2 linked regions of the Daphnia pulex genome follow. Each later gene encodes a partner of the first gene's protein in a complex. Links are inferred from orthologs where the notes say so. Each region holds a gene or a part of one and is shown on either strand. Other genes may lie near its edges.

The links. Proteins that work in one complex are often made in the same cells at the same time.
Region 2: dynein axonemal assembly factor 10-like (region 1) and p53 and DNA damage-regulated protein 1-like share a complex: the UniProt entries of both Homo sapiens proteins name them as parts of the PAQosome complex. The link is inferred for Daphnia pulex from reciprocal best matches to the Homo sapiens genes DNAAF10 and PDRG1.

The regions. Positions count from the first base shown.
Region 1 is NC_060027.1:3,759,945-3,766,413, forward strand, and holds dynein axonemal assembly factor 10-like, read left to right. Parts: upstream 1-3,129; 5' UTR 3,130-3,235; coding exon 3,236-3,409; intron 3,410-3,482; coding exon 3,483-3,583; intron 3,584-3,643; coding exon 3,644-3,876; intron 3,877-3,936; coding exon 3,937-4,052; intron 4,053-4,124; coding exon 4,125-4,259; intron 4,260-4,318; coding exon 4,319-4,416; intron 4,417-4,478; coding exon 4,479-4,686; 3' UTR 4,687-5,035; downstream 5,036-6,469. Other genes in the region: ESF1 homolog, read left to right, coding at 1-494, 566-730, 793-918; N-alpha-acetyltransferase 30-like, read right to left, coding at 1,686-1,879, 1,955-2,078, 2,142-2,675; uncharacterized protein LOC124208227, read left to right, coding at 5,557-5,688, 5,779-5,898, 5,960-6,043, 6,139-6,280, 6,337-6,469. UniProt on the Homo sapiens protein: Key assembly factor specifically required for the stability of axonemal dynein heavy chains in cytoplasm.
Region 2 is NC_060023.1:8,878,807-8,884,025, forward strand, and holds p53 and DNA damage-regulated protein 1-like, read left to right. Parts: upstream 1-2,794; coding exon 2,795-3,023; exon of another isoform or gene 3,024-3,086; coding exon 3,087-3,247; 3' UTR 3,248-3,268; downstream 3,269-5,219. Other genes in the region: hydroxyacylglutathione hydrolase, mitochondrial-like, read right to left, coding at 1,282-1,664, 1,737-1,963, 2,030-2,151, 2,214-2,326, 2,401-2,467; intraflagellar transport protein 140 homolog, read right to left, coding at 3,269-3,754, 3,835-4,053, 4,119-4,295, 4,361-4,505, 4,571-4,755, 4,822-5,098, 5,172-5,219. UniProt on the Homo sapiens protein: May play a role in chaperone-mediated protein folding.

The DNA of each region.
Region 1 (6,469 bases):
GAGATGTTGAAATGGAAATTAGTTGGGGTGTTGGCCTCCAAGCTAAAGCTGAAGAGATGGTCAAAAAGAAGATGGCTGAGAAAGCTCTTGAAACACCTTGGGAACAGCAGTTAGCAAAACGAAGGGAAAAGCGAAAGGCCCAACGACAAGAAAAGAAACAAATGGAAGTTGCACCACCGTCGGATGACGAAGAATCTGATGACGTCCCCTCCGACATCGACATGAACGATCCTTATTTCAAGGAAGAATTCGAAAAAGAAGAATTCCGTAAGAAGAAACCTAACTCAAAGGCCAAACAGGTTGAAGAGAAGTCGCATTCCGCTGACGAGGCAGACAAAACCGCTGAACTCGAGTTACTTTTAATGGACGATAACGATGGCAAAAGACATTTTAATCTCAAATCTATCATGAAGGAAGAAAAACAATCCGGTAAAAAGAATACAAAGAAAGCCCGTGAAGCCGTCGCTTCTAAATCTAAAGATGATGACTTTAAGGTACATCTAACGTGATGAAGTAATCTAAAATTCCTAATTTAACTTGAACATGTTCTTTTTGATCCAATTAGATTCAAGTCCACGACCCTAGATTTGCTTCGTTGTTTACTTCTCATCACTTTAATTTGGACCCATCCGATCCTAATTTCAAGAAAACAGAAGCCATGGAAACGATTCTGCAAGAAAAACAGAAACGAAGGAAGGACGACCCCAACGCTGAATTGACGAATCAATCGGTACATTACCCTTTTCTGTCTCATTCTCAATGTCTTGATTATTTTTCACGTTTCCACTACAGGAGCAGGAGCAAATGGAAGTTAAAAAATCCCGGGTTGACTCTGAATTATCACGGTTGGTGCGCTCAGTCAAAGTCAAGACATCGATGCAACAGAATCAGAAAAAATTTAAATCATCCCGAAACTAAATACAATGGTGAGAATACAATAAACAACACAAACAAAATTAACTAATTTTCTCTTCGTACGAATGGTGTATTTCACTTGCACATCAAACGCGGTATAAACAAACTGCCAGTTTGAAGGATGATTATTCCAATTGGGTAGTGGGCTTTTTACTCCTGAAGATGGGGAAAACAAAAAAAAAAGGGGGGGGGGGAAAGCACACTATTGAAGGAACCAGTCAGCTTTTGTGTTTTGTTTTTTCAGAGAAAAGCATGGACGCGGCTTAGAAAATTCAAGTATTAGCCAATTACTTTCATTGAGAAGAAATATGGCTGCACGATAATACAAGGCTGCAAGACCACACGGGGCTATAAAAGAAACCCGTCATTTATGTACAAACTCGCGAAACAATTGTGTGAAGGTCGTTCAGCATCTGTGCTGTATTGGTTTCCAAAGAGACGATCTCCGGTGCTTTAAAACCGAAATTGGTGAAGTGAGACAACTGAAAAAGTACTGGCGCGGACAGAAGCTTCCGAAGAAACAAGTTCCGAGAGGGATAAAGAATGGGGTAAGGTAAACAACCAAGACTAGCCGTGAAAGTTTCCCAGCTAAGGGAAAGAAAGAGATAGGGTTCGTAGGACAATTCTATTAAAAAACAAACAAGAAATGATTGACAGAAAAGGGTAGGGAAAGACTGAACCGGGATAGATAGAATAAACTAAACCCTTTAATGAGAACACGTCAATACGGGCAAGGCTTTCAATGTGAGGACAGTATGATGTGTTATTCTTTACCTAAGCCATAATTTTAGACGTAAAGCGTCCACACCATTTAAATAGTACCGAAAAAGTCTCTTGTCGCGAACGAAGCCTAAATTTTCGTACAGACGTAGTGCAGGTTCGTTTGTAATTTCTGTTTCCAAAACAACTTCATCAGCTCCGTCAGCAACCATGGCAGCAATAGCTTTCATAACTAAATTGGATCCTGTTCACAAGTTACAATATTATTTTTTTTTTTTAGAAATTGCATTTTAAGTTGTTGACAATATTTTGAACATACCTATCTTTTCTTGTCGGTACTTTTCATCCACGGCCAACATAGCGATATAACCTCGCCGGACAACTTTCTTATGGACGTCCAGTTTGCAGACAATTGCTCCAACACATTTTTCTCCATACATTGCCTATTATTTTAAAATATGAAAAGTTATCTCTAGAAGTTAAGGAATAACTATGATATTGCTTACTAGGAAACATAACATGGGCCAGTTGTGTATGAAATAGCGGTAAGTGTATATAGAATAAGGCTCTGACAAATCCTTCTGTATAAGCCTCATAATGTCAGGCATTTGAAGCTCAGACTGATATTGTACATAAGTCACTTTCTTAACCAGTGTACTGGTTGATGAGTTCTTAGTAAAATTCTCACCACTGTCCTCACTTGGGGGATCACTGGGACCACTCCCAACTGTCAATCGCTTCAAGGAGGCACCAATCACTTCAGTCGAACTGGAATCCAAATTAGTACATTCTTCTGGACTAGATGTGTGAATATTGGAACTTGAACTCTCACTAGAATCTGACAAATGAGTTCCATTGCATCCATTAATATGAACACCATTTTCTTCAACAATCTGCTTCCCAGTAGAAAAATGACCATTTAACTTATGGTTCTTGCATGAATCAGGGTTTTCATTGTCTAAATTGGTTTGAGACACAAGGCCTGGTTCCGAAGGCTGGTGGTTATTACTCGTTCGGTTAGGTTTCTTTTTAGGTGCCATTTCTTCTTCATCAGTTCGGGCCTGCGGTGTGACTTAGATCAGATCACTATAACTAGAAACCATAACTTCACAAATGTTTAGACCCTTCTCAATGCTGTACTTAATATTCCTTTTTGGCTTTCTGTTCCTTAACCACAATACTTCCAAATCCAAATCATCGAAAGATAAAGATAAACTAGAAAAGCAATATTGATAATAATTAAAAATTATTCAGACTTCGGGACATTAGTAGCCTACACGACCAAACTCTTCCACACAGCAGAAGGTGTACAGCTGCTCAACTCAAGTGCCTAGATGGCACAATGGAAAAACTTTATTAAATATAAAAAAATTCAATTTGAAACAAATTGAAACTAAAAAATCTAATTTTTTTGTACAATTATATTTTTTATATTTGAATATTTTTGTGGTTTCATTTAAAGTTTTGTCATTCAAAAATATAATTTGACAACCTTTATTGTCATGGTTACGAAAATGTTGACAGTCAATCAAACTGTAGTCGGCTTTTTGGTTTGTTATTGTTGAATAGCAGTGGTTTGTAGAATTTATAACTTACAAAAATGACAAATTCCCGAATCCTTATTTTGAACGAGAAATCGGTGAATTTTACCCTGTTTTGTGTCAAATGGGTGCCATGCAGTGCTCGAGTGGTCGTTTTAGGCTCCCACCCAAAAGGAACGGGAGTCTGGCAAATATATAGTCTGTCTAAAGGAGAACTTGAGCTTATTACCGAAGTATTATGCCTTTTGTCTCTTCTAAATTTTGAAAGATTTTAAGTCTATTTAACAGTTGGATATTTCTTTTTAGGTTGAGAAACCACTCGCTATCAAATGTGGGACATTTGCAGCATCATCTTTTGAAAACAGACACTTGGCCACTGGAGACTTTAGTGGGAATTTGAATTTGTGGTGAGTTTAAAGATCAGTGGTTTTTATATTTTCCTTTACTTAAAGTTTCCTTCATTCTAGGGACTTGGAGAAACCAAACTCAGCAGTATATTCAGCCATTGCACATACTTCAATAATCAATGATATTGATGGGGTTGGGGGGATAAATGTTGGAAAAGGAGCAGCTGAATTGGCTACTTGCAGTAGAGATGGTTGTGTAAAGATTTGGGATGCACGTCAAAAAGACCGTCCAGTCGCTATTCTTGAACCAGAAGAAGGTCAAACGCGACACGACTGTTGGACCGTAGCCTTTGGTAAGGACCAGTTGCATAATAATGCCCAAATTTGACATGAATACTAATAAAATTTAATAGGAGGTGCTTACAGTAGTTCAGAGAGACTTTTAGCAGCTGGATTCGACAATGGTGACCTCAAAATCTTTGACTTGAAGACAATGAAAGTTCAATGGGAAACTAATGTTGGAAATGGCGTAATAAAATTTGACTACTTACATATTACTTGTTTTCCCCCTATATTAAAGTTTAGCTTTTATTTTAAACAGATATGCAGTATCGAATTTGACCGCAAGGACATCGAGCAGAATAAGCTGACTGTCTGCACTTTAGATTCGCGTATTTTTGTGTTTGATTTAACCACAAAACATCCCACTAAAGGTTATGCCTTTGTCCGACAAAAAGTAATTTTTTTAGAAACACATTTAAAAATAATGTTTGCAGCATTAAGAATTTTGTTTAGGCACACAAGTCAACGGTTTGGAGCGGTAACCACTTGCCTCAAAATCGAGATGTTTTAATGACTACTGGTGGGAATGGATCATTGTGCTTATGGCAATAGTAATAGATTAAAATAATGTAAATAGCGCATGAGTACTCACTAATAATTCTTTCATGATCAGTGAATATCCAGCTAAAAGAAGCGCTAAAGCAACCGACGGGACTCTTGAGGGTGTTGCTGGTAACTTGAAAATGATTCATGAAATTGGAGTAGCTGAGCAACCAATAACGTCCTTCAACTGGAACGCCGATAAACTCGGATTGGCTGCTAGTACCAGCTTCGACCAGACGTTGAGAATCCTTGCAGTTACTAAACTTAACTGCCTTTGATATGCTCAAAAACTCTTATTTATAGATAATTAGCACAGTGTATTTCACACTTTGCAGTGATCTGGAATTCAGTTCCGTTCGGAACTTCTGTGTCATTGGTTCGAAAATCTCTTAATCATTTTCAACCATTCGTTATCTAAATTCTACAATTGAACATGGATTGACCATGGCCACTATCATTTTCTTGTTTTTTTTTTTCGATGATTCAGTCGTAGTCGTAACTTAGTGATCAGGTTTCTGACCTTTTTTCTAATTGTGTTTTGTTCTGTTTATGAGTTTGAAATATGGTATGGTTATTTTTCTGCCAAAAATTATTTGCAATAAAATCTGGAAATGTGGAAATGTCAAACACTATCTTTTGCCAACAAAACCATTAGCAAAGTTACTATTTAATTGTCCATCGCATTTAATTTTTTAGAGCCTTCTTTACGGAAGTTCACTTTACAGACGTTCTTGTTATTTTTAATATTCCCATTGATAATTTGATATAACTGCTACATTGATTCCTTTTACGGCAAAATGAGCTGTATAAGATAGATAGTGAATCTTGAAAGTTTCCGATGGGTCACAGATTCACTTGCTTAGAAATTAGCTTCACCACTCTCTGCGGAAAATCGGAAAACTCTGGAAAAACCGAAAAGGACGGATCACAAAATCCTTTTATCGAAAAGCTGGCAGCGCTGTCGCTGACCAATTCTATTATTGACAGTTTGTTTTGACGTGGATATTCGGTGTGCTGACGTTTTTCTACTGCTTTGTGTGTGGTCCAGCTTTTTTGTTTTGTACAATTTAAGTCATTGCGGTAGAATCTCTTCATTGTTAATCTCTTATAAATTTACTTTACCTGATTGACATAGTTGGTTAATATACATGGAGGAAACGGAAACTGTCATCGATATCATTGATATTAGTCGTGAGCTCTATGACCTTAAGAACAAGTATGAACGATTGAAAGAAGGCCACCGGAAATTACTGATTGTTAACCAAAATTTAGAAGAAAAGGTATTTAAACTTGTTTGTACAAATTTCATATATCAAACAACTGTAGCAGCAAAACACTAATTTGCTTTTTTCTTTATATTCAATTTGAAGCTTCTTCAAAATATCAATAAATACGAAACAGAAAAGTTCTCAATGGTCCATACTATTTCATCACTCAACCACCAATTAGAAGAATTCCAGAGAATTAATAAAAAATTGGTAACTGAAAATGTAAGTTTGATTAGTCACTTTTTCATTATTTTACAAATCTTACCATTATTTAATTATATAGGAAAGGTTTAAACTAGACATCTCTGTTGCCATCCAATTGCTCCATTGCAAGCCATCAAGCTTTTCTGAATGCAAACTTGAAAATGTATGTGAAAAGAAAAGAGTCAGATTCTTTTCATTTGCAACTTTAAATCTTAAAGTTACAAAAATCACTAATCTATCCATGTATTACTATTATAGCTTCCACAAGAGTTTCAAGATAAAGCAAAGTTCCATATGCAACAAGAGTTTCTCCCAAGATATAAACCAGAGAAGAAAGGAAAAGTTATTCGGGTCCCAATTTCTGCTTTCCCTTCAACAACTGTGATATACTCAATACCTGGTATGTCAAAGTAAGCTAAATAAAGTAAATTGATCTAATAAGTAATTTTTTGTAAGATGATAACGACGATGATGGTGGGGATATTAACACAAATACTACTGTGCCTGTCGAGACTATGGCTAAAGTGCTGAATGAAAGACAATTAGAGCTTTACGATCAATCAATCAATGGATCCAGCTTACAGTTAAA
Region 2 (5,219 bases), on another chromosome or scaffold:
ACGTAAAGTCCCCGTGACCTTCGAGCGCGAAGGAAGGACAAGGACATGCAAACTGGCCTTTCCTTCTGCAGGTTGACGTTGCTGGGGATGGGTCTAAAACAACCAATATCAAAATGAACACCAAATGGTTATTGGCTTATGGCTTTAAAAAAACTCACTGTATACCAATTGACATTTGAGTCATTTGACTCGTTTCTTCGGTGAATGAATAAAATCTTCCATTTCATAATTCTTGCTCCTTCCACAAGTCCACATGTCTGATTGCCTTTACATGTTGTCTCCCACTTTTCCCATGTCTTTATAATAAATAAATGAAACTAAATAATGTAATAAATCATGTAAACTAACACAACTATTAACTAAATCTCACAAAGTGGGCCTTCATAATAAATCATATTAATCTACACATAAAATCAAGAATTTGTATAGCAATATAGTACCTACATGTAAGTTTGATTCGGATTGAAACTAAAGGACAAGATCCTAAGACCATCAACGGATCAACCTCATCAACCAAGCGCCATAACTCACTATCCACCAAACTACAACTCTCACTCAACAAGTTTTTCCTTGCTCGAATCACAGCATCAAACGATTCTAGTCTAGATTATGTAAAACTTGCATACAATGAATAAAAAGGTGAAAAATTGCTTGAAATGCTGTTCAACTTGCACACAAGTACAACTGAAAGTGGCACTGATATCACAGTCTGTGCTGATATTTATAAAACTAAATAGGCTACAACAAACACATAAAAGCTCAATACTTTAACAACAGTTAATAACTATACATTAAGATACTTAAAATAGCACAAAATAATTAACTTACTCACCAACTTATAGACGAACGTACACCATTTTTACTTCGACTCGGTTGCTTGCCGCTAACATGTTCTACATCAACGACATCTAACTCGGTAATCCATAACCAGACATTCCCACCACATTCTATGATTCTATCTAAAAATACTTGGTCTGTTGGAAATGTTGAGTCGATTAATTTTGTAGTGGTCTAAAAAGCATTATTGTTATGCAAGGAATGGAAAATATCTCACGTAAAAATCAGCAGCAATGCGCAAACTATTCAAAATCTAAAATCTTCCGTCGCAGTAGATATGTATTTTCAACATGCGTTTCCGCGATCAAGTGTGACGAAAGCTATAAAACTCTTCAAAGGGAAAATAACCCGATGACATGTACAGTTAGTATCAAACATGAATATAATGGTGACATATTGAAGGACAACATTATACCAAAAATGTCGGTTGAACATGCATGATTTTCATACATTGGCTTTGAATGAGTCTTTCTCAGTGCGCAAGGATTTCATCGTCTCAATAGGATCGGTTTGTTTAGCATGACTTTGAACAGAGGGTTCGTGAACGCGCATGAATGGATTGAACTGCTTTTCTTCGCTCAATAGAGAAGGAACAGTAGGTTGGGAATTTTCCCGTTGCTCTCGGGCCCAAGATATACGTTTGGAAACGAATTCATTATTGGGTTCTACATGAAGTCCAAAAGCTAGATTTTGCAAAGAGTATTCATGACCACAGTAAACACGAGTATCATCAGGAAGAGCGCCGAGGACATTGATCAATGCATGATACATTTGATCAGCCGTTCCTTCGAAAAACCTACCACATCCTCCTTGAAAGAGAGTATCACCTAATATTGAAGAAACAATATTGAAAATATTTACTCATTTAACCACTAGAATATTTTCAAAGTTTTACTCACCAGTGAATACTGCTGATTGTCCATTGACACTGCTTGAGGGCAAATAATAACAAATATGCCCAGAAGTGTGGCATGGTGTAAATAGACATTGAATTTCTAGGTTTCCAACCTGAAGTTTATCTCCATGAGAAACCTTCTTATTCAACGCTCCAATACGGTTATCTCCACCATATACTGCAAGCCCAGGAACAAGTTTTACTAATTCTTCATTGCCACCTGCATGATCCCTGTCATTAAAAACAAAATCCCAAACATTTAAATTAAAAATTTACTATACTAATGATAAAACAAACCAATGATGATGAGTAGTAAGAACAGTGGTCAATTTCACATTTTCCTGATTTACAATTTCAACCACTTTGCTAGGGTTTACTGGGTCTACAATTGCAGCTTCATTTGAGCTCTCATCCACCAACTATAGTTTAAGTATGAAATGTATTTTACATGTGATAAGCCGAATCCAAAAAGTTTGCATACCAAATACATGTAGTTATCTTGCAAAGCTGGAATGATATGGACTTTCATCTTTGAGTCAATACAAGTTTTGAGCTGGCTGTGACTTCTTGAACCAAGGGCTCTCCAAGCAGAAACTACAAAGAATAATTTTTAAGAAAATGTTCAATTTGTTGACAAAATAATGTTCAAATAAAAACTGTAGACGTACAGCGAAAATATGCCGCAGTTAACGCTTGCAAACACGATTCAGGTAGAAGACGAACTAGAGTATTCATCTGTTTTGTTGTTTTTGAGCCACTTGCCGATAGCTCTTTCTCACAGAGCAGTCGACAGACAGTGTTAACACGTTAAACACTGAAATTGCGCTTGATTGATTAATGATTATCAGTTTTGAATCAAACTCTAATATTCAAGATATCATGCAGAACAGTTACAATAAAATAAAAGGTAACAAAATTACTGAAGACAGAGAAACAATACAAAATTTGGTTCTTTTGATTTTGTTCGTCAATTTTGGCAATGGGGCAAATGAATAGCAGACGATACAACAGCAAACAAGAACAATCTCTTCAAACTTTCAAACTAAACAAAAAGATTGTGCCATGGATTTCGAAAAGACACAACAGTTGATACTTCAAACTGAAGCTGCTGCCCAAGAGATTTTTATCACCAGAGACGAGATAGTAGCATTGGATTTCAAGCGCCAAAAAACACGGGAAGCTTTTCGGGCTTTGAAAAATGGCTTGGAACCTAGTGAAAAGGCATGGGTGTCGATTGGAAACATATTCGTAAAAATAAGGACGTCCAAGGCGCAAAACTTGTTGGAACGAGGTATTTAAAATTAGCATTTAAATTTCAACAAAATTAATTCAAATTGTCGCCTTTCTCCTGCAGAGTTAAAAGAGGTTGATCAAGAGATATCTGAACATCGCAACAAGCTTAAAGAACAAGTGAAACATTTGAGAGATCTTGAAGGGAAACCAGAACTGAAAGGGTTTGATTTAAAACCAATATCTAAAGAAGCTGAGATTATAATGCAAGCACTTTCTAAGTGAAGTCTGAATATCATCAATAAATTATTTTCTGTGATTAATAATTTCTCTTATATCCTCTGAGTTTTCCTCTCCATTTTGGTTACCTTGTTCGAGATATAATGTTGATGACACATTTTGAATTAGGCATAATTGAGACACCATGTCAGGATCCAAATAATTCATGAACTTTGGAACAGTTGCTTTCATCCCATTCAAAGTTTGGAGGGCTTCATTGTGCATTTGGTGATCAACATAAAGTTGGAAAATAGCAGAGTAAACATTTCCTGGTTTCAAAATGCCTAAATCCATGCTAGATGATTGTAAGATACTTTCAAACTGAGAAATTCCTTGTAGGTTTGTGGCAGACATTTTTCTGATGTTAATGAACTGCTCCAGAAAAGCCATTTTCATATAAAGTGCTTTAGATCTTGTTGATTGACTACTTTCAGGAGTTTTGGACATAATTTTGTGCGCTTCTTTCAATGCGTTCATTGCGTTGTCGTAGCTTTGGTATTCATCAACCTCGGCCTAATAATAAGAACACATTGCCGTATCTATTTAGTTTTTAGATAAATAATAAGTTAATAACCAATAATTAATTTACAAACCTGTGCACAGGCTTCATAAAAGCCGACAAGGAGATCGGGCGATCTAGCTTTCGTGTAGAAGGTCACAATGTGTTTGACGTATTCCGGGTGGGAGCGCCAGTCGAGGGTTTGTAAATAGTTTCCAGCAAGTATATAAATATCAGGCTGCCTAGACACGTTTGCGAAGAAGACAATTCGATCTGTATCGCCTGATTTTAAGAGAGCTTTCATCGCTTGATACTAGATACAAATTTCCCATTAGTTAAAGAAATCAAACAAAAAAATAAAAACCAAAGATCAATTACTTTATCTCCTGCTTGAGTAAACTTCTTTGCCGCTAACTGGTAGTCACCCTGGCGTTGAGCAACTTCAGCCAGTTGAGTCAGCAATCGGCTGTTATTTTCCCCATTTACGAGTTGATCGGCCAACGCTTCTGTCAACGTGACATTGTATTTCAAACACATGTCAACTGCATCGGAATTCTGTAAAATAAATTCCCTTTCAGACTTAGATTCAGACGTAGAAAATATCGAGATTCTAATCTTACCTTTCCTGCCATGGCAAGCAAATCTACAGCTGCATCATAATGGCGATGACTTGCTAAATAATCAGCACAACGTTGCAGTGATGCAGGATTCGAGTTTTTGTCCAAACGTCGAGCTAATTCTAATACAGCTTCATGCTGTTCCGTTCTTTGAAGGGCGCAAGAAAAATAAGCCAAACATTCACTTGTTATACATTTCATGCAAGATATTACCTAGAAGCCAAATCGAGGGCAGTATCAAGAAGTCCAGCTTTACTGTACAGCATGACTGCTCGATCGAATCTCGGTTGGCGATCGCTGTTAGCCGATGAACCTTCAAAATAACGTGCAGCTTCAATCATTTCTTCTTGTTCGCCCAGCATGGCGTATCGGTACAGCTGGTCATCCAGTTCGTGTTCCTATTTACAAAGAAAAAAGTCAAGTGTGCTTTCTCTCAAAAGGGGAATGATATGAATACTACATACTTTGCATAGACGGACAGCGTTACCGTAGGCGGCTGCCTGGCCAAAAAACTTCAAAGCCTCGGGAATGTTATCGTTAGCCTCGTGTTGCCGGGCGACGTGGAAGCAAGCTGCGCGGTCTTGGCTCTGTTCAGCCAACTCGGTCGCTCGATTCAAATCGCCCAAATAGCAATGAAGCCGCACAAGTGAAAGGTAGTCTCCAGCCCTGGCGTAGTGTTCTAGCGCCGTATCCATCTCTCCGCTGCTTTCCAGAAACTGAGCCCACCAACGAAGTCGTTCTCTACCGAGCAAACAACAATAACCTGATTAATAACCCCGTCACTTTACGAGGAATAAAAATTTAGAAAATGTACGGGTCTTGACTGGAAGTGCAATAATTCTGAAGGGCGGTTGTATCTTCG